Linked DNA regions of Ovis aries. The protein of the gene in region 1 interacts with the protein of each later gene in a pairwise test. Links are inferred from orthologs where the notes say so. Each region holds a gene or a part of one and is shown in the gene's direction. Other genes may lie near its edges. The genes, in order: TTC23, TRIM10, CREBZF and MAGED1.

Region 1 (5,517 bases):
CATTAAAAGCGTCTGTTATTTTCTCAGTACTGAGAACGTTGACAGAAGTCAGGCAAAACACATACCATTTTGCCCAGTTAATCAAGCCCTCTCGCCTTTAGAGTTTGGAAGCAGTCAGACTAGTAGAAAGGATTTCACAGACTCGGTGAAAGGATTCTGCGACCACCTAGGGCTAGGAGGGCCCGGCGGCAGTGGCGACCCGAGGCCCGGGTGGGCCCGCTCGGGCCGGGGTCCACTTGCTGCGGCCCGACGCCTCTACCAGGCTCGGCCTGCCTGGCCAGCGGCCGGGCCAGAGGGCACTGCTACGTGAGACATCCGAAGCAGCAAAGCACCACTCACCTCTGCCGGCGGAGCCAGCGCTCCCGAGCTGAGGGGCGCCGGACTGCTAGCCCGGGCTCGGCAGGCGGGGCGGAGCGCCGGCCGCGACGGGGCGGGGCGCGGGCGAAAGCGGGGCGGGACGGGGCGGGACCCTCTCTTCAGAGGTTTGGGGGAGGAGTGAGCCCGGGAGAGGAAGCTCGCGATAATACGCCCCTGTGGTCGCCGTCTTACGATAGGTCGGGCGAGATGCTCGTTTTCCAAGCGACGCGTCTATTGGTCAAAACTGCGGCTTCTCTGCGACTGCACCCGCCTCCGGCTCGGTCCTTGCTTCCGGCTCTGGCTTCGAGGGTTACGGTTGAGATGGAGGTTTGTGCTCAGAGTTTTGAGAGGGTGGTTTAGCTGGCTCCGGCCTCAGCGACCGTCAGTAATTTATCAGTTCTTTTGTTCATACGTTCACTGACGCACTTGTCCCCGTATTCAATACATACGTTGAGAAATTACAAGAATAACACCCAGTGTGTACCAGGCAAGGGTCTAAGATCTGTGCACAGGTTATCTCACTTAACTTCATGGCAATCCTATGACACAGATACTATTATTGTACTCGTTTGACGGAGGAACAACTGAGACCCGGTGGTTTTCTGTAATATGGCCAAGGTTAGTGATCAAGTAGTAAGCTTATTAAAGCACAGTATAAAAAGTCAGTGCGCGCTGGCAAGTTCGTTCCAAACTTGAGGCGGTAACCCAGTCTCTGCTCTTGAAATACTTGAAGTGTGCTGCGAGAAACGATCGTTAAAAGGACACTAACAATTTAGTGAGTAAAATACTCTGGCATTTCCTAGCATGACTGAGTCGTCTATCAATAAATATTTAAGAATATTCCCGTGTCAGCAGAAAGTCATAAAAGGAAGAATCTTTCATGCTGGTTAAAAGTAAAAAAAAAAAAAAAATCCGAGCATTGTTAGGGAACAGTACAAAATACTTTTTAAAGTTCCTCGCTTGTTAATATGACAACGTTTCTTCTGAAATGAAGTTTTAAAAAAACTTCCTCTTCAGAAACCACTATTATTCTTTGAAAAGCTTGATGTTGATTAAACTACTGGTTCATTGTCAAGCAATCTACTTAATTACTGTTAGAGGTAACCTACAGAGCAGACTTATACTAAGTAAAAATAAGACCTATGGCAAAATAACGCCTACCATCTGAAACTGACAGAAAAGTAGCCATGTGATTCTTTGTATTAATATATTATCCTGTGTGTGCCCTGCTCAGTGGTGTCGGACTCTGCCACCCCACCCACTATAGCCTGCCAGGCTCCTCTGTCCATGGAATTTTCCAGGCAAGCATACTGGAGTGGGTTGCCATTTCCCCACCTAGTGATCGAACCTGCGTCTTCAGAATCGCAGGCAGATTCTTTACCACTGAGCCACCTCGGAAGCCCATATTATCCTATGGACACTCTTAAAAGTTGTCTGAATTTGTCAAATGTAAGTTTCACACTTTGCCTCACTCAAAACAAGGGGGGCGGAGGCAATCCTCTATTCCAAACCAGTAATTTGGCAGTCTTTGGTAAACTTTAACATCAACGGGCAGTGATACCACTTTAAGAAAATTCCAAAGAAAAGACCAACCCCGTTTTAAAAATCCCACCTCTGGCTCCCAAGGATTGGGTTGCAAACTTAAACAAAATACTCTCCTCCACTCCCTATTGGTGCATAATCTATCATTCATTCTCCCTGGAATTTAGTGTGGTACCAGGTCGCTTTACGGGAAAAGACTGCTCCAATTTAGCCTGGAATTACCCAACTTTAGACTTTTATCACGGTGCTCAATCTGTAAAAAGAATCACCAAACTGATAAAACCAGTACAGCGTGGATCAAACTGTAATCAGGGTGCCGAGACAACTGTCATTCGAGCGAAAAAGAAACGGACAACTCTCAAGCCCACAGGGTAACTGACAAAGGATTTTACGACACAGTGAGAGATGTGAGAGTTAAACTTTTCTGATTTTTTTTTTTTTCTTTTGCTAGCTTTAAAGGAGTAGATGTCAAAGGAAAAGGAAATAAACTGCTGGCATAATGCAAGAATGGCAGGAGGAGAGTTTTTCAGAGGGTGTTTTTCTTTTAGAAAGAACATTATTCGCAGATTAGCAGTGGATTTTTGAATAGTAAAGGGAACAAGGTAATAAAATTTACTAAAGATTATTTTATACTCCAAGAATCTGTGGTTTGTTATTGCTTTAATATGGATTTAGAGGAACACTTAATAATGTTATTGTAATTATTAGGGGAAATAGATATTTTTCTTTGTGTATTATCATACCTAGCATAATAGGCAATCCAACTGTTAAAGTTATCATCTTTGGACCCAAGTTTTGTGTATATATGTAGATTTGGAGATTCAGGGACATATCTGCTAATGACAAAGGAAAACATAATATTGGTATATGAAATAGAATCACAAGGTGATGAATGTAAGGATAAATTCTCAAAAATGAAGTCCAGCATTTATATTTTCAAGGATGATATTTTCACTAAAACTAAAATATAAATTCAGGAAATACTGATAAATGAGGTTGATGTATATTAAAGCTTAATTTGGAATAGCAGCATTTTAAAAAAATCCAGCCCAATGTAAAATTACAAAATATAAAAACGTAATGATTCTTCAAACATTAATTCAGCTAATAAATATACCTAGTGGCACATTTATTCCTCTACAAGGCCTAGCTCAAGAGTAGGTATGCAAAAATATTTCTTGAGTGTCCTCTATTAATCCATATATGGGGATATAAAATAATGAAATACACTCTCTAAAGAAGCTCATACTCTGTCTCCCTGGGAGAAGGAGACTCAAAAAGTTTAATGAAGACTTCTAGATAGTTCTTGGTGCGTAGATGACTGTTGTAGACCATAGGTTCTTCAGGTGCTTAGGCCAGTAGAGCAGAAATATTCAGGGAGAGTTTCACAGTGGGGTTAAGACCCATTTGGGGCTTGAGCAATGGGCAAAATTTCAGTAGAAATTGTGTAGAAATTTCAGTCAAAAAAGAAAAGAAATAGCACCCCAGGTAGTGGGTGAGTTGTTACTGAATATGTGCAGCATAAAGAATAATTAACTCTGAGCAACAGAAGTTTCATTTGGGGATCTTGTTTTAATCTTCAAAAAAGAAAAAAGCATGAGAATGTTACACAGAAAGTCAAAATTGCCAGAATTAAGGAGTTTGGTCCTGGATTTTAAAAGTAATATTTGAAAAAGATAAGACTTTCAAGAACAGAGACCAGGAGCTAAAATATTAATACTATAAATAATGGAATGTAGATTGGTAGCAGCCTCATGAGACATTTTCTCCAAATATCATCACATGGGAATAACATAAATCTTGATTCATTTCTTTCTTTTATTTTAAAGCACTGATCTTGTTTTTTGTTTAGCACTATTTATTATTATGTGTAATAATATATAACAAGATACTATGTATAGATGAGGTGATAGTTGTGGTGCTATAAAACAGTAAAAGTGATTGTTTACATTGCATCGTTTTTTGCTCCTTTTCCCTCAGAATTTACCTGTATTTCTTGGTTCTATTTAACTGATTTGAGGGAATGTCAACCAAAAAAAAAGTTGTGACTGAAGAATACCATGGGAGGATGGGAGATATTCGTACTCAGACTGTAGGCTTTCACGTGACCTGTTTCTCTGAGACAAAATTCAATTCCATATACTCCATGAGCTGCTACCATGTACCAGATGATATCCTTCCAGTGGTGGGGGGTGGGGAGGGGAAAAGGTGAATCAAGGACTCCACCTCCACTCCAAAAAGCAAAGTGCTTCAGGGATACCAAGCAGAATATTTGCCTCCTGCTTCAAAATTTGCTTCAGAGAATCTGAAGGTCATCTATCCTAACTTCTTGATTAGCAGTTCTTAATCAGTTAGATGGAGAAGGATGTTGTCTCTAGCTGTGGAAAAGAATCCTGAGACAAGGCCCCTTGATGGCAGGTGTGGCAGACTGCGATGTTCACCAAGTATTCCATTTACTCCCCTGGGTATGTAGCCCTCTTTGCAGTTAGGGAGCAAATGAAATGTTAGTGCAGGTGAGTTGGGTCATGTATGGGCGATGATAATGAAAAGCCCATGCACAGTTTTTCCACCTCTGTTACTCTGCCATGACTCTTGTTGATGTACAGTTAAACCTTGGTCAACCTAGGTCTCTTGAGAGACTCTGGATCAAACATTCCTACTCCCCACCTCCATCTACACCCACTACTAAATCAAGAGGGTCTGTAGCACATAGCAGTTAGTATCTTACCTCATCATAGCCTAATAAATGATTCTGACTACCTAAGACAACTTTTTCCCTGGAGATGTTGACGTTTCATGTAAGTTTTCTTAAGGAAAAAATGCCCTAATCAACTGCGTTTCATCTATCAAGTGGATGATATGTTTGGGGAAAAGTCATCCTGTAAAGATGGTTTAATTTTCTGTCCAGTAAACATTTATTGAGGCCTATTAGGTGTCAGGCACTAATGCCATGTGACTCATCTATGTGGAGAGCCAGAATATTAAGATTGGTTTTCAAACTTTTGGGAACCTCTGTCATATTGTTTTTGTGGATCAGGGCTTCCTTCCCTATCTTATAAAAGTCTTGTAGTTAGAAGATTTATTTATAAAAGAATTACATATAAAATGGCATGGTGGTTTCATATCTATTTTTTAACAGTAAGGTATAATTTACATACTATAAAACTCACACTAAGGATATAACTCAATGATTTTTTTAAAGAAAATTTACAGAGTTGTATAGCTAGCACTACATTCCAATTTTAGAAAAATGTCCATCACTGTAAAAAGATACCTCATGCCCATTTGCAAGCACTCCTCATTCTTACCCCAACCCCGGCCAATCAATAATAAATTTTCTGTCTCTATAGACTTGCCTTTTCTGGACATTTAATACAGATGGAATCATGCAATATGTGATATTTTGCATCTTGCTTCTTTCACTCAGCATAAGGTTTCTGAGACTTAACCATGTTGTCATATGTATTGGTCTGTCATTCCTTTTGTTTTTTAATGAAGTATAGTTGATTTAGAATATTAGTTTTCAAGTATACAACATAGTGATTCAGGATTTTTATAGATTATACTCCATTTAAAGTTATTATAAAATAATGACTTTATTTCTCTGTGCTGTGCAAT
Region 2 (4,845 bases), on another chromosome or scaffold:
ACTCTATTCCAGGAGACAGAGATGACACTTCTTCACAAATCATTGTTTCCATCTTAAATATTTTTTAAAAATTAATTGAAGTATAGTTGATTTACAGCTTTGTATTAGTTTCTAGTGTACAGCAAAGTGGTTCATAAATATTTTCAGGCTCTTCCATTATAATTTATTTCAAGGTATTGAATTTAGTTCCCTGTGCTGTACGGTAGGTCCTTGTTGTTTATCTGTTTTACATATGGTAGCTTGTATCTGCTAATCCCAAACTTCTCATTTATCCCTCCCCCACCTCCATCTTAGATATTTTATGCCCCTTCTTTCCAGGAACAAATACAGAAGTGTCTTGAATGTCTAAGAAAAGAGAGAGAGGAGATTCAAGAAATCCAGTCAAGGGAAAATCGAAGGATACAAGTCCTCCTGGTAGGTCATCATCCCTTCCTTAGCCCTCTTGCTTTCCTCTGGCTCCAGTGCCTATCTGAAATAAGGAAACATCGCATAAAGGGGCTTTGAAGTCCTTCTGAGTTTGAATCCTGAAACAAATTAGCTCTATGACCTCAAACAGCTCTCTATGCTCTGTTTATTTTCCTGTGAAGTGAAGATTAAAAATCGTCACTATCTCACTGAATTGCTGTAACGACTGTCCCTTAGTGACACGCACGTTGTTACACTTGGTAAACGGCAGGAAGTAAGGTTTCCTCACCCCCTCCTTACATCTCCTCCCGGAAATGGCAGGCCAGGTGGAAAGGAAACCACGCCGTGGTTCCAAGTCTGTCCAGGGACCTAGAGACTAGGGGACTCTGACTTTACCACCAAACCTTGGAAGATATGGATCTGGGCCAGGAGGGAGATGGGAGTGAATTAAGGAAAAAGAAGGAAAAGGAAGGGGAAGAAGAGGAGGAATAACTTCCTGGCTTCTTTCTTCTCCTGCCCTCTCAGACTCAGGTGGCCACCAAGAAACAAAAGGTGATTTCTGAGTTTGCACATCTGAGCCAGTTCCTGGAAGAGCAACAGAACATCCTATTAGCCCAGCTGGAGAAGCTGGATGAGGACATCCTGAAGCATCGGGATGAATTTGATGTCCTGGTCACTGGGGAGATCGGCCGGTTCAACACCCTCATTGAGGAACTGGAGGAGAAGAAGGAGAGACCGGCGAGGGAGCTCCTGACGGTGAGAGCTGAGCCCCCACCCCCACCCCCTGTGCTCGCCTAGGCTTTGCGGCATCTTTACCATCTGAGCCATCTCTTCTTCACTCACAGATCTTTGTACCCCAAGTGCAAGATGGGTCACAGGACCACAAGTTCTGCATTCTAAGAGTCCTTGCTTCCCCCAGAGCTCCCGGGTCACTTTGCGAAGATTGTGGTCTCTTCATCCCACCATCCATTCAGATAGGGAAGATGCTTTATTTATCTCCCAAATACTTTATTTATTTGTGAGGATCCCACAGTAAAATGCAAGTGAAAGTAGCACTTTGCAAAGCATCAAGCACTATGCAAACAAATGTCAGGTGCTGTTTTCAAGGCAAACCACTCTCTGTGCCACACCCCCCAGTCAGGATGTTCTTTCTAGTCTATGTCACTTTGTCTTGCTGGAGGAGAGATACTGGGGTCCCAATACAGCATCACAAAGGCAGCATGACTTAGGGGGACACACTTGGGACTGAGAAGCAGGTGACCTTGGGATGGGACTTGTCTTTGCCTCTGAGGGCCAGGTCACTTCACTGTCTACATCTTATAAAATAAAGCAGTTGGGCTCCAAGATCCCTGAAGCCTCATAAACCCTAAAATGCTGTGAGTCCATGGATCTGGTGTCCTTTTCTATCTAGGGCTGAGATTACAGTATTTTTGTCTTTTCTTGTGGGAAGGAGAAGTGGAAACCAATCTCTGCTTTCTCTCTTTCTCCTAGGATATCAGAAGCACTCTAATAAGGTAAGTTTGTCTCTTCTTTCCCCACACACATAAACAGACAGGCACCACATGCCTGGTTATTGCCAAACAAACATACGTTTTCACTTTACAGATAAAACTCACATGTAAACTTTCACATCCTCAATTGCATTTCCACGTATTACCATAGGTACACACCCAGCATGGCATTACCCGAAAGTGGGCAGTGAGGAGAGGAAGGGGGTCCATCCTAGAGGAATGATGTCTGCCCATGCGGACTGGCACCTCCAAGCTCAGTTAGAAGATGACCAACTGAGTCTGGGGGCAGTGCTAAGGAGGATAAATCCCAGACCCCACCATTTCTGTGCCCCTAGATGTGAAACCAGAAGGTGCCGGAAACCAGTGGCTATATCTCCGGAGCTGGGCCAGAGGATTCGGGACTTCCCCCAGCAAGCCTTCCCACTGCGGAGGGAGATGAAGATGTTTCTGGGTAAGAGGACCCCATGGAGCACAGGTGGCCATGAAGCCTGGGCTTACGAGTGGCCTCCATGCCTGCTTCCCTATGCTTGTGTGACCTTTGACAAGGCTCAAGCCTTTCCAGTGCCTTGTTTTCCTTATTTGCCGATCTTTATAAAATCTGCTTTCAGAATAATGTGACAACGAAGTGAGATAATAAAGCTGAAGCTTTCCACAAAATTTTAACTATTTGGAAAAATAATGAAACCAATCTAATCACTTGTCATGAAGTGACATGTAAGATAATGATTAACAAAAATTGGTCACTGTCAATAATTTTAAAAAGCCACAGGGGCATTTGTAATATATGATGAGCTTTTTTATGATTGTTAATTAATAGCCACTGAGAGTATTTTTCTGTGCCCTGTCTTAGCTGACTTTCCTTCCTCCTTTCCCTGGCTTTCCCCCATCCTCCACCCCATTAGCCTGGTCCTCAGAGTTGAACTGCCCATGTGGGGACCATGATCCCTTTTCCGGGACAGGGAGTGGTGATAGGTGAGGGACTGGAGGGTTTGAAATGAGAGTCAGAAATGTGGCTTGCTGCCAGCACCTCCCCCTCATCCCACATGACATCATGAATGATACCACCTAGTTCTATATGACCTGCCTACAAAAAAAAGTCACCTTAGCAGAGTTTTCCCCTAAGTCCACTTCCTGCCAGTAAGTGGCCTAGCAGAGAAGGAAGTTTTACTCTCGTCAAAGGCTGACCTTTGACTCTCCCCTAAATTATTTCCAAGCAGAATGAGAAACAAATTAACCCACTTATTTGTTCATTAAGTAGATGTTTCTTGAGCATTTACTATGTCCTGGGCTCTGTGTGAGGCATTGTTGGTAAACATGGTCTCTGCCTACTCAGAGCTAGACAGTGAGGCTCAAAATGAAGTCCCAGCCTGCATCAGCATGCCCTGGGAACTTGCCAGAAAAGCAAATCTCGGCCCCACCCTGGGCCACTTGAATCAAAAACAAGTGGTCCGGGGGCTCTGATGCAAGTTCAAGTTCAGAACCACTGGTCTAGAAGGTTCCACCTGCCATTCTTCTCTTTGTCCCTTCCCTTTCTGGGGCCTCAGTTTCCTCATCAGTGAATGTTCTGTGGTTTTGTGAGACTAATGAAATAGCATCTTGTTTTACTTCCTCTTTACAGAAAAACTCAGCTTTGAGTTGGATTATGAGCCAGGTGAGTTGCCTCTGTCAGTATGGGGAGGGAGTGAGAAATCTAAAGTTGAAAAGGACGGATAATTTTGCCGGGTTCCACACTGGAAAATGTACTAGTCAAATACATATATATCATATATATAAAAATAAATGTACATACACACATAATGTCACACATGGCAGTGATACATGTCACTGCCTTCATAAGGACTGTAGGAGAGACGCACACACTCATACCACGTACCTGACAGAAGTTCAGGTTCTGATCTGCACTTGACGAGATAGAAAGATTAAATCAGCCTGGGCCAAGGTCTATCGGGAAGGGCTTCCTGGGTGAGGGGAACTTTGATCTGGATTTAGAATAACATTTTTAGAATTGTCAGGACCCCCCACTCTCTCCCAGGTATTGTTTCATGGATGATAGGAGTGTAACCTGTGGGCAGGAAAGGAATAAAGACTGGACCCCTCTCAAGGCCATTGTTCCTAGTCTATCAGCCAAAGACACTGGGATGTCATGGGCTTCTTGGAAGCGGCTCTAATTCATGGACATATCAGAATTCACGTATTTGTCTCAGCTTATGGATACTAAAGGTAACACTATGCATAGTTTTGATGTCAAAAAGTGGCCCTCAGACGGCCTGATTGTAGATTCCTGAGGCAGAATGAATACCCCGTGGGTGAGTCAGGGAGCCTGACAGGAGCGAAGAAGACTGGGCATATGAGTCACATGCACCCAGGGAGTGATCATGAAGTTTGGACTGGGGGTGGGGGGAGGTCCCCGCCCTCTGAGGTACAGGAGGGATAGAACGTGATGTGTCAGCAGAGGAAATGAGAGCAGGCACACACAGCTCTGGGCGTCAGCCAGTTTGCAGGCTGCAGAAGTGCTTTTCAGGGGACTGCAGAGAACCAGATGAGAGCCCACGTGTCCAAACACGCTAACCAACTAACTAATGCTGTGACCAAAACAGACAGCCTATTAAAAAGCAGAGACATTACTTTACCAACAAAGGTCTGTCTAGTCAAAGCTATGGTTTTTCCAGTAGTCATGGATGGGTGTGAGAGTTCGACTATAAAGAAAGCTGAGCACCGAAGAATTGATGCTTTTGAACTGTGATGTTGGAGAAGACTTTTGAGAGTCCCTTGGACTGTAAGGAGATCCAACCAGTCCATCCTAAAGGAAATCAGTCCTGAATATTCATTGGAAGGACTGATGCTGAAGCTGGAACTCCAATACTTTGGCCATCTGATGCAAAGAACTGACTCATTGGAAAAGTCAGCATCAGCACCGCCCTGATGCTGG
Region 3 (5,566 bases), on another chromosome or scaffold:
ATATCATATGTCCATACATAGAAAAACTCTTTATATTACACATCAAAATTTTAATAAGTCATTTTGGGGTAGTTAGATTATGGGTAATATTCTACTTATTTGTATATTTCTGCACTGTCTGAATCTTTTACAGTGATCATTATAACCAGAAAAGAAAAAAAAAAACCAACTGTGAAGAAGGAGAGAATGAGAGGAGAGGAATGATGAAAGGGAGGGAAGGTCGTTTCTGCTTCAGCTGCTTTTTTGTCTTCTGAGGCTACACTTGTAAAAACTCCCCTCTCTCAGTTTTTTACTTTTCTCTTAATTCAATATAGAGGCTCTTAAACCGTGTATATTTAAACCAAAATCTTGTAATTTAGGGAAAAAATGATAAATCAATCCATGATCTTGATTTTGCCTTAGGAGAAAATACAGTTCGATTGGATGACCAGCCATACAAAACACCTGTTAAAGTATGCCAGAAAATTTATCATCTTGAACTGTTTGCTGTTCTACTTTTGCAAAACCTTTCCTAATGGGGTTTCTCTGGTGGCTCAGAGGGTAAAGCATCTGCCTGCAATGGTAGAGACCCGTGTTCGATCCCTGGGTCGGGAAGATCCCCTGGAGAAGGAAATGGCAACCCACTCTAGTATTATTGCCTGGAAAATCCCATGGACAGAGGAGTCTGATAGGCTAAAGGTTATGGGGTCGCAAAGAGTCAGACACGACTGAGCAACTTCACTTTTCCCTTTCTTTCTTTTCCTAATGGGAAGGTTAAGGAGTTACCTGGAGGCCACTAATTTTTTCTTCTAGATACCATCAGTCAGTTAGTTCAGTCACTTAGTCGTGTCTGCCTCTTTGTGACCCCATGGACTGCAGCACACCAGGCATCCCTGTTCATCACCAACTCCTGGAGCTTGGTCAAACGCATGTCTAGATACCACAGGTCATGCTTATTTGTGTCCCTTGCAGAATCGTTTTTAATTGAATTTTAATGCAATGCCTTCAGTTAAAAGTTGGAAACCTTCTTCATTCATTCAACAAATAATTATCAAAGCCTACCCTGTGTTTGGGACCTATTAGTGTCCAAATTTCCTGGAACTTGCTTTGAATCCTTCTAAGAAACAGCCAAATAAAGGAAACTATTGGTGAGGTTATCTGCTACTTTATGCAGTATCCCATTGAAAAATTTCTTTAAGATGTGAGAACAGGAAAAGCAGTTAAGGAATTCATGTATACTTATAAGCAAATAAAGGAAAGTTTGTTTGTTTGGGTTACCAAGAAGCTTAGTCTACTGAACTAGCTCAACATGAGTAACATGAGTAAGATTTTATGTCCATCCGATTCTGAAACAAACCTTTCCTCCTTTTAGAACTCCTTATCTTTTTCATCTGTATTTTCACTGACCTTGCTTTGTAAAAATGTGAGTTATTTCACTGTTTTTTTAGTGTATTTGTGAACTGCTTCAAACCTGAAATCCTTGTGGGTTTTAAGGAACAATATAAACACCACCATGAGGAAACAGACAAATCCAGATTGTGGTGGATTTTTCAAGACAACTGACTTTGTTTTTTCCAAAAAGCCAATGTGAAATGTAAAAGGGGGTGTTCTAGTTTGACAAATGGGGGGCGGGGGAACATAACAAATGCAAGAAGTGGTTTGTGATTGGATCCTGGCTCAAAAGAACACATCTGCTATAAAAGATTATTTTTGAAGAATGCTGAACAAATTTTGAATATGATATGTGTAATAGGTAATATTAACAAGATTGTTAATTTTCTCCAGACCTGATAATAGTAGTATGATTATGAAAGAGAATGTTATTTTTAAAGATGCATACGGAAGCATGTTGAGGTGGTGTGTTTTGTTTCAAACTTTGGGATAATTCAGCAAAAAGTTTTACAAACATTTATATACAGATAAAGTGTATATGGCAAACTGTTAATTGTTGAGTCTAGGTATTGGTTTGTATCGTTGAATTAGAATACTCTTTCACATATTCTGTTTATTTGTAAATTTTTTAAACAATTTGGAAACATTACATAAGAATGACTTATTTACCTCTTTTTTCTTCTAGTACTATTTAAGTGTTTGAATGAAACCATCTTGTACTATAGCGTAAGGGAGCGGGGCAATTTCAAAAAGGATTTGATCAGCAGTCTTAAATTCCAGGATAACTTTGATTATTCATAGATGTGGTATCGATCAGTTCTGAGCGAGAGTTGCTTCACTGCAGGTGGAAGCTAGAATACAGAGGACAGAGAAGCGAGGGCCGAGAGGGTAGACCACCGTTCCAATAAATCCCTGGTTTGTTGTTATTTTTGCCGCTGTTACTATGACATCACTGCAGATCTGGAAATACGCCCGGTCTACCGAACTCTCGCGATACTAGAGCCCAGTGGAGCGCGAAATGCGGTGGGAGGGGCTGGAACGAGATCCACTGACTTCCGGCCAGGCCGTTGTCTGGGTGGCGCGGTCGAGTCATCGCTGGGCCTCGCTGCTTCCAGCTCCCTTCCCTGCCCCCCGCCCCGGCGCGGGGGGTCGACTAGCCAAGCGGGGGCGGGAGGCGACGCGGACCTTCCCCTTTCTTTCGTTCTGGCCTGCTCCCCGGCTACCCGTTCTGGGTCCCTGGGACCCGCGAGGCCCGATCTGAGGGCCCGGGGCCTACGTGGGCCCGCCGCCGGGCCCCATGAGGCATAGCCTGACTAAACTGCTGGCGGCTTCGTGCAGCGACTCCCCGACGCGTAGTGAGAGCCCGGCGCCCGTCGCGACCTGCTCGCTGCCCCCGGACCTGACCGGGGCGGCGGAGGACGAGGGGACGGCGGCGGCCGGATCTCCCGGCCGCAGACAGCCGCGCGGCGACGAGGGCGAGTCGGAGGCCGGGAGGGGGGGCCGCGGCGGCGTGGCCGCGCGCGCGCCCTCGCCTGAGGAGATGGAGGAGGAGGCGATGGCCAGCGTCCCCGGGGAGGAGACGGAGGACATGGACTTTCTGTCCGGCCTGGAACTGGCGGACCTGCTGGACCCCCGGCAGCCGGACTGGCACCTGGAGCCCGGGCTCAGCTCGCCGGGGCCCCTCTCCTCGTCCGGCGGAGGCTCGGACAGCGGTGGCCTGTGGAGAGGCGACGACGACGACGAGGCCGCGGCTGCCGAGATGCAGCGCTTTTCGGACCTGCTGCAGAGGCTGTTAAACGGCATCGGAGCTTGCAGCAGCGGCAGTGACAGTGGCGGCGGCGAAAAGAGGCGGAGAAAGTCCCCGGGAGGCGGCGGCGGAGGCGGCGGCAGCGGCGGCGGCAACGACAGCAACCAGGCGGCGACAAAGAGTCCCCGGAAGGCGGCGGCGGCGGCTGCCCGCCTCAACCGGCTGAAGAAGAAGGAATACGTGATGGGTCTGGAGAGCCGAGTGCGGGGGCTGGCCGCCGAGAACCAGGAGCTGCGGGCCGAGAACCGGGAGCTGGGCAAGCGCGTGCAGGCACTGCAGGAGGAGAGTCGCTACCTTCGGGCCGTCTTAGCCAACGAGACCGGACTGGCTCGCCTGCTGAGCCGGCTGAGCGGCGTGGGACTGCGGCTGACCACCTCGCTCTTCAGGGACTCGCCCGCCGGGGACCACGACTACGCTCTGCCTGTGGGGAAGCAGCAGCCGGACCCGTTGGAAGACCAGGACGACTCGGCCGGAGGAGTGTGTCTGCATGTGGACAAGGATAAGGTGTCGGTGGAGTTCTGCTCGGCGTGCGCCCGGAAGGCGTCGTCTTCTCTTAAAATGTAGGGTCAAGTAATCCGCTCTTTATCCGCGTTTATCCCCTTTCAACTCCCTTACATCATGTAAAACACCTTAGTGGGACATCGTCACTGGACACATTTCAGAGAAGGAAAAAAAAGTAATATTGAATCTTTAAGTGTTTAGCTAAAAGCATGAATGTGACACTGTAACCAACTCCTAATGATAACATGTGACTATTAAATCTCTCTGACAGTTTCTTTTTTAGGTGATTTCCTTCCTGCCAGGCTCCGTTGTAGGGGTTACAGAACAGTCGTTCCCGCCTCACCACCTGGTAAGGACCCATCTCTTCACGTAACGCTCATGCTCTGCTGCTTAGTCTACTTTAATGGGCAACATCTCAATTTGTGCGTGTGTGTGATTTTTTTTTTGTTGTTTGTTTGTTTGTTGTTTTCTTTTTCGGAAGTTGGGAGGGGAATCTAATTTGGGCCCTGTCCACCCTGGAAACAGACTTGTGCTGGTCAATAATGTACTCAAGATGCTTCTTCTGGTTGAAATAGCTGTTAATGTGTCCCCTTGTTCAGACTTGCGTGTACCTAGCTCTTCTGTCCCCAGTGTGGACATGGCCTTGGATGACATCGGTTCCAACTGTACACTGAAAGCTGCTAATAGAGATACAGTTTGGAGACAGTGACACAGGTGAAGTTGAATGGAACTTCCGAGTTGTACAAGGTGCAAATTGGAATTCCAATTTTAGAGCAACTTTTCAGAGGTTGACAATAAGTACTTGGGGCATGCACAAATGTGACAGTTACTTTGCTGGAGATGACAGAAATCTCTTAAATATAAGAATGCCTTTCAGTTTTAATAGATCTAGACATACAGTCTATTCAGATTAATAGATTTTTATATTTCACCATTAGAGAAGTTGGAAATTAACATGCACACCAGACTCCTGTGTTAGTTACTTGAAGGAGGAATAAGAATGGTTAATGAAATGTTTCTTTGAGGACCAGCACAGTGATTACCCTATCACTGAGTATGAAGAAATTGTTGAACACCTTTATTTTTGTTGTATTAAATTTTTAGGTTAAATTTATGTATGATTAGATATTGAAGGTTATGAAATGTGAATGAAAACGTGTAAAGTGAGGCTTCACAAAGAATCTTACTCTCCATATTTCAAAGGTATTTGTCCTACTTAATGACACGATTGACACTTTTCCAAAGTTGGGACACAGTCTTCCTTTGAAGTACTCTGTCATCCGATTGTATATAGATTTAGCCATGATGTCCTTCAATGTACGGGACATGAAGAAATTCTTTGTGAAACATCACTGTTTGATAAAGTATATACGTATTTAGCATCCTTGTTTTTCTTTGTGCTAAAGTGGATACAGCTGTTGGGGCAGAAGAGACGGGACCAGCTGCTGGCCACATTTCCTGCTTTATTTTAAAAGGTAGTATAAGAAATGAGGAAAAAGAGGTAATATCAGGGCTTCTGCTTTTATTTTAAAATGTTCATAATTAAAAAGTATTTTCCAGCAGTCCAAAGATGTAAGTTATCTTACACATAAAATGTTTTATTTTGTTGTTATTTGGTTATGAAAATGGAATCTTGTTCTTGCACAACTGTAAATGTTTTGTTGCTAGATAATACACTCTGAGACCTAACTTGGTCTCTGGTTTCCAGTGCATTACAGCATATTTTGTAAAATCATCTACTGCACTTGAGCATGAATACGGATAGTAGCCAAACTCACAACCTGGAGTGATGAACCTGCTTATACCTAAGTGCAGGAGCAAGCCCCTCACAATGCAGCTGCATGGATTTTTAGTGCCTACTGAATAATATATAATATATATAAACCA
Region 4 (3,599 bases), on another chromosome or scaffold:
AGGTGAGATCCCTACTAGTTCTACTTTGCTTTGGGCTCTCCTTTCTTCTCTGAGGTGGTTCATTTGTTCTAAACAAGACAAAACTAAATATATATAATTGTCTGTATTCAACTACATTGTAGGGCATGATAAGGTAAATATGATGATTCTTGCTAGTCCACAGAATAATGGGGAGATGAGACATGGACCCGTAATATATACAGTCTGTGTGTAATTCATTTTACATTTTAAAAGTAGCCATGTGTTAGATCTTGGCCTAGGCACATTCACACAGGTTATCTCACTCATTAAATCTTCTCGGTACCTCATACCAGCTAGGGATCATAGTTTCAGTTTTACAGAGAAGGAAAATAAGTCCCAGAGAGGTGAAGTGACTTGAGTGATTTGTCCAGGGTGGTACAAGCAGAGCCAGTGATGGACATAGGAAGAAGAGAAGCCTCAGGCCCCACCCTTGGGTTGCTCCTGGCCTGGTTCAGAGATGAAACTCCTGCCTGGAAGACAGTGAAAGACAAGCCCAGGACTCAGGGTGACCATTGGCTAGTAGGTCAGGCTGTCACTACAGGTGAGGGTTTTAGGGGGCCTTCCTGAAATAGATACGGTGAGGACATAGAAACACTTGGTAACCCTGACCTTCCTTTTCTTTGATGATGCAGATTAATAACTTGAATGTGGAAGAGAGTAGCAGTGGGGATCAGAGGCGGGCCCCACTGGCTCCAGGGACCTGGAGGTCTGCACCAGTTCCAGTTACCACTCAGAGCCCACCTGGCGCACCCCCCAATGTGCTCTGGCAGACCCCACTGGCCTGGCAGAATCCATCAGGCTGGCAAAATCAGCCAACCAGGCAGACCCCACCAGCACGTCAGAGCCCCCCAGCAAGGCAGACCCCACCAGCCTGGCAAAACCCAGTTGCTTGGCAGAACCCAGTGATCTGGCCAAACCCTGTGATCTGGCAGAACCCAGTGATCTGGCCGAACCCCATTGTCTGGCCTGGTCCGGTTGTCTGGCCAAACCCACTGGCCTGGCAGAATCCACCTGGGTGGCAGACCCCACCTGGATGGCAGACTCCACCAGGCTGGCAAGGTCCTCCAGATTGGCAAGGCCCTCCCGACTGGCCACTACCCCCTGACTGGCCACTGCCACCCGACTGGCCACTCCCCACTGACTGGCCGCTCCCACCTGACTGGATCCCCACTGATTGGCCAGTTCCACCAGACTGGCAAAACCTGCGCCCCTCACCAAACCTGCGCCCCTCTCCTAATTCGCGTGCCTCACAGAACCTGGGTGCCTCACAGCCCCGAGATGTGGCCCTTCTTCAGGAAAGAGTAAGAACTGTAACTTCAGTTGCTTCTCCCCACCCACCCTCACCTCTTTTCTTTGTTGTACTTCTATCTATAATTCAACCAAGTGTTCTGTCAATATCTTATAACTCTAATGAGTTCCTTTTTCCCTCTCAGGCTAATAAGTTGGTCAAGTACCTGATGCTTAAAGATTACACAAAGGTGCCCATCAAGCGCTCAGGTAGGCATTCAGTACCCTCTCCCAGAGATCTGCCCTTCCCCTCACCCCATTCTCTATGGATATCTCTGTGCTTATATGTCCCCTCCCCTTCAATCCCCTCTTTCCATGGGTGAGTCTTCCTTTTTCGCCTACTGTGTTCCCCTGGGCAGGGCTGGCAAAAATGCCACAGCTCTGTGGCCCCTGCTCAGCTCAGATGCTCCCTCCTCTCACCTGCAGAAATGCTAAGGGATATCATCCGTGAATACACTGATGTGTATCCAGAAATCATTGAACGTGCGTGCTTTGTCCTGGAGAAGGTGAGAAGGCAACCCTGAAGGACAGAATGATGGGGAAGAGTTTGCGAGGAGGGGCTTTGATAGATATTATGAGAAAGTCTTGGTTTAAAGATTCATGGGATTCCTATTGGGAGTTTGATGCAAATCACAGGGAGTGAATGTGGGTATGCTTATGCTAGATTTTGTAATTTCATAGTCTGTTTTCTTGCCCCTGTAGAAATTTGGAATTCAACTGAAAGAAATTGACAAGGAAGAACACCTGTATATTCTCATCAGCACCCCTGAGTCCCTGGCTGGCATACTAGGAACGTAAGATGGGAAAGGAGGGGAAACATTGCCATTCTCAGTGGCGGTTTTTTCCTAGGAGTTTCAAGTAGATCAGGATTCAGGGTCACATAGCAGGTCATGGGCAGAGTTGGGGTAGAGTTGTTTCCTAGCTGAGGAATACTAGGAAAGCTGGATGGGTAAACTGCCTGGGGTGCCTGTGTAAATGCCTGCTGAAAATATATTCCTTTTTTTAAAAAAAAAAAAAAACTTCTTTAGGACCAAAGACACACCAAAACTGGGTCTCCTTCTAGTGATTTTGGGTGTCATCTTCATGAATGGCAACCGTGCCAGTGAAGGTGAGTGGCCGGGCCAGCAGCTGGGGGTTGGCTGCCGCCTGATTTCCATGTTCATTTTCCATCCCTTGTCTCCCCTTGCCTCCCATTGCAGCTGTCCTCTGGGAGGCACTACGCAAGATGGGACTACGTCCTGGGTATGATTGGGCTCTCTCATCTCTTGCCTGTTATATGATTCTTTGGCAACAGAGGATGGTTCCAGGATTGCATCAACCTGGTAGTCTAAGGGAATTGGTTTGGGGAGATACAGAGCCCAAGAATGTGACCTGGGTGGATGGGGAAATAGTCCTGGTCTCTGCTTCTTCTCTTATCTCTGACTTCTGTGCTGGAAAACTGTTTTCTTTCCTTTGGGCAATGTCATAGTCTCTAATTATGAATCCCCCCCCCCTTTTTTTTTTGTTTTTTTTTTGTTTTTTTTTGTTTTTGTTTTTTTTTTTTTGCTCTCAGAGTAAGACATCCCCTCCTTGGAGATCTGAGGAAGCTTCTCACTTATGAATTTGTAAAACAAAAGTAAGCGATGCCTAAGTGGCTTGTCTTGTCCTCATGAATTCTGTGTGCTGGTCAGCCTCAGAAAGCCCTTCCCATGCTGCTCATTTCTTATATTAACTATACCTATGCATATGCATACATATATACTCAGGAATATTTACTGAGTATATTCCTTGTGGCTGAATTTTCCTGCAGTATAGTTATCTTGCAAGTGAAGCTTGTCCACCACACCCACAGTAGATATTCCTAAGGCTGGGTTAGCAGAGGCTTTGCAATGGGCCTATCTGTGGTTCAGTAACAAGATTGTAACAACCCGGAGTCAGAACTGTGGCAGAGGGGGTGAAAAAGTGTTGTCCTTTCTATGACTCTACATAAGTCATCCTCTAGTCCTAGGTGACTAGTGTAGAAACACAGGAATTTGAAGGCCTAATTATTAGAGGGTAAATAATCTGTGTTTAGGAATGAGACTGGAGGGAGTTGCTACCTGAAATCTGAGGTGTCAGAATCTCGGATTATTTTGCATTGATGGACTCTCATTTTGGCTGAGTAGAAACAAAGGCCTTTCTCCTCTTTCTAAGGTACCTAGACTACAGACGAGTACCCAACAGCAACCCTCCTGAATATGAGTTCCTCTGGGGCCTCCGATCCTACCATGAGACTAGCAAGATGAAAGTGCTACGATTCATTGCAGAGGTAA

Evidence for each region.
Region 2: the proteins of TTC23 (region 1) and TRIM10 interact in binary tests that used the Homo sapiens proteins (3 or more experiments, as listed by UniProt). The two-hybrid records come from large-scale screens. The link is inferred for Ovis aries from reciprocal best matches to the Homo sapiens genes TTC23 and TRIM10.
Region 3: the proteins of TTC23 (region 1) and CREBZF interact in binary tests that used the Homo sapiens proteins (3 or more experiments, as listed by UniProt). The two-hybrid records come from large-scale screens. The link is inferred for Ovis aries from reciprocal best matches to the Homo sapiens genes TTC23 and CREBZF.
Region 4: the proteins of TTC23 (region 1) and MAGED1 interact in binary tests that used the Homo sapiens proteins (3 or more experiments, as listed by UniProt). The two-hybrid records come from large-scale screens. The link is inferred for Ovis aries from reciprocal best matches to the Homo sapiens genes TTC23 and MAGED1.

What each region holds. Positions count from the first base shown.
Region 1 is NC_056071.1:6,835,537-6,841,053, forward strand, and holds the start of TTC23 (tetratricopeptide repeat protein 23), read left to right. Parts: upstream 1-2,064; 5' UTR 2,065-2,306; intron 2,307-2,350; exon of another isoform or gene 2,351-2,501; intron 2,502-5,517. UniProt on the Homo sapiens protein: Participates positively in the ciliary Hedgehog (Hh) signaling.
Region 2 is NC_056073.1:27,848,308-27,853,152, forward strand, and holds part of TRIM10 (tripartite motif-containing protein 10), read left to right. Parts: intron 1-318; coding exon 319-414; intron 415-930; coding exon 931-1,161; intron 1,162-1,896; coding exon 1,897-1,919; intron 1,920-2,251; coding exon 2,252-2,367; intron 2,368-3,534; coding exon 3,535-3,567; intron 3,568-4,845. UniProt on the Homo sapiens protein: E3 ligase that plays an essential role in the differentiation and survival of terminal erythroid cells. May directly bind to PTEN and promote its ubiquitination, resulting in its proteasomal degradation and activation of hypertrophic signaling.
Region 3 is NC_056074.1:9,414,059-9,419,624, forward strand, and holds the start of CREBZF (CREB/ATF bZIP transcription factor), read left to right. Parts: upstream 1-2,421; 5' UTR 2,422-2,668; coding exon 2,669-3,738; coding exon of another isoform or gene 3,739-3,742; exon of another isoform or gene 3,743-3,950; coding exon 3,951-3,966; 3' UTR 3,967-5,154; exon of another isoform or gene 5,155-5,566.
Region 4 is NC_056080.1:53,607,706-53,611,304, reverse strand, and holds part of MAGED1 (melanoma-associated antigen D1), read left to right. Parts: coding exon 1-2; intron 3-653; coding exon 654-1,322; intron 1,323-1,454; coding exon 1,455-1,518; intron 1,519-1,734; coding exon 1,735-1,814; intron 1,815-2,010; coding exon 2,011-2,102; intron 2,103-2,336; coding exon 2,337-2,416; intron 2,417-2,507; coding exon 2,508-2,550; intron 2,551-2,860; coding exon 2,861-2,923; intron 2,924-3,480; coding exon 3,481-3,595; intron 3,596-3,599. UniProt on the Homo sapiens protein: Involved in the apoptotic response after nerve growth factor (NGF) binding in neuronal cells. Inhibits cell cycle progression, and facilitates NGFR-mediated apoptosis. May act as a regulator of the function of DLX family members.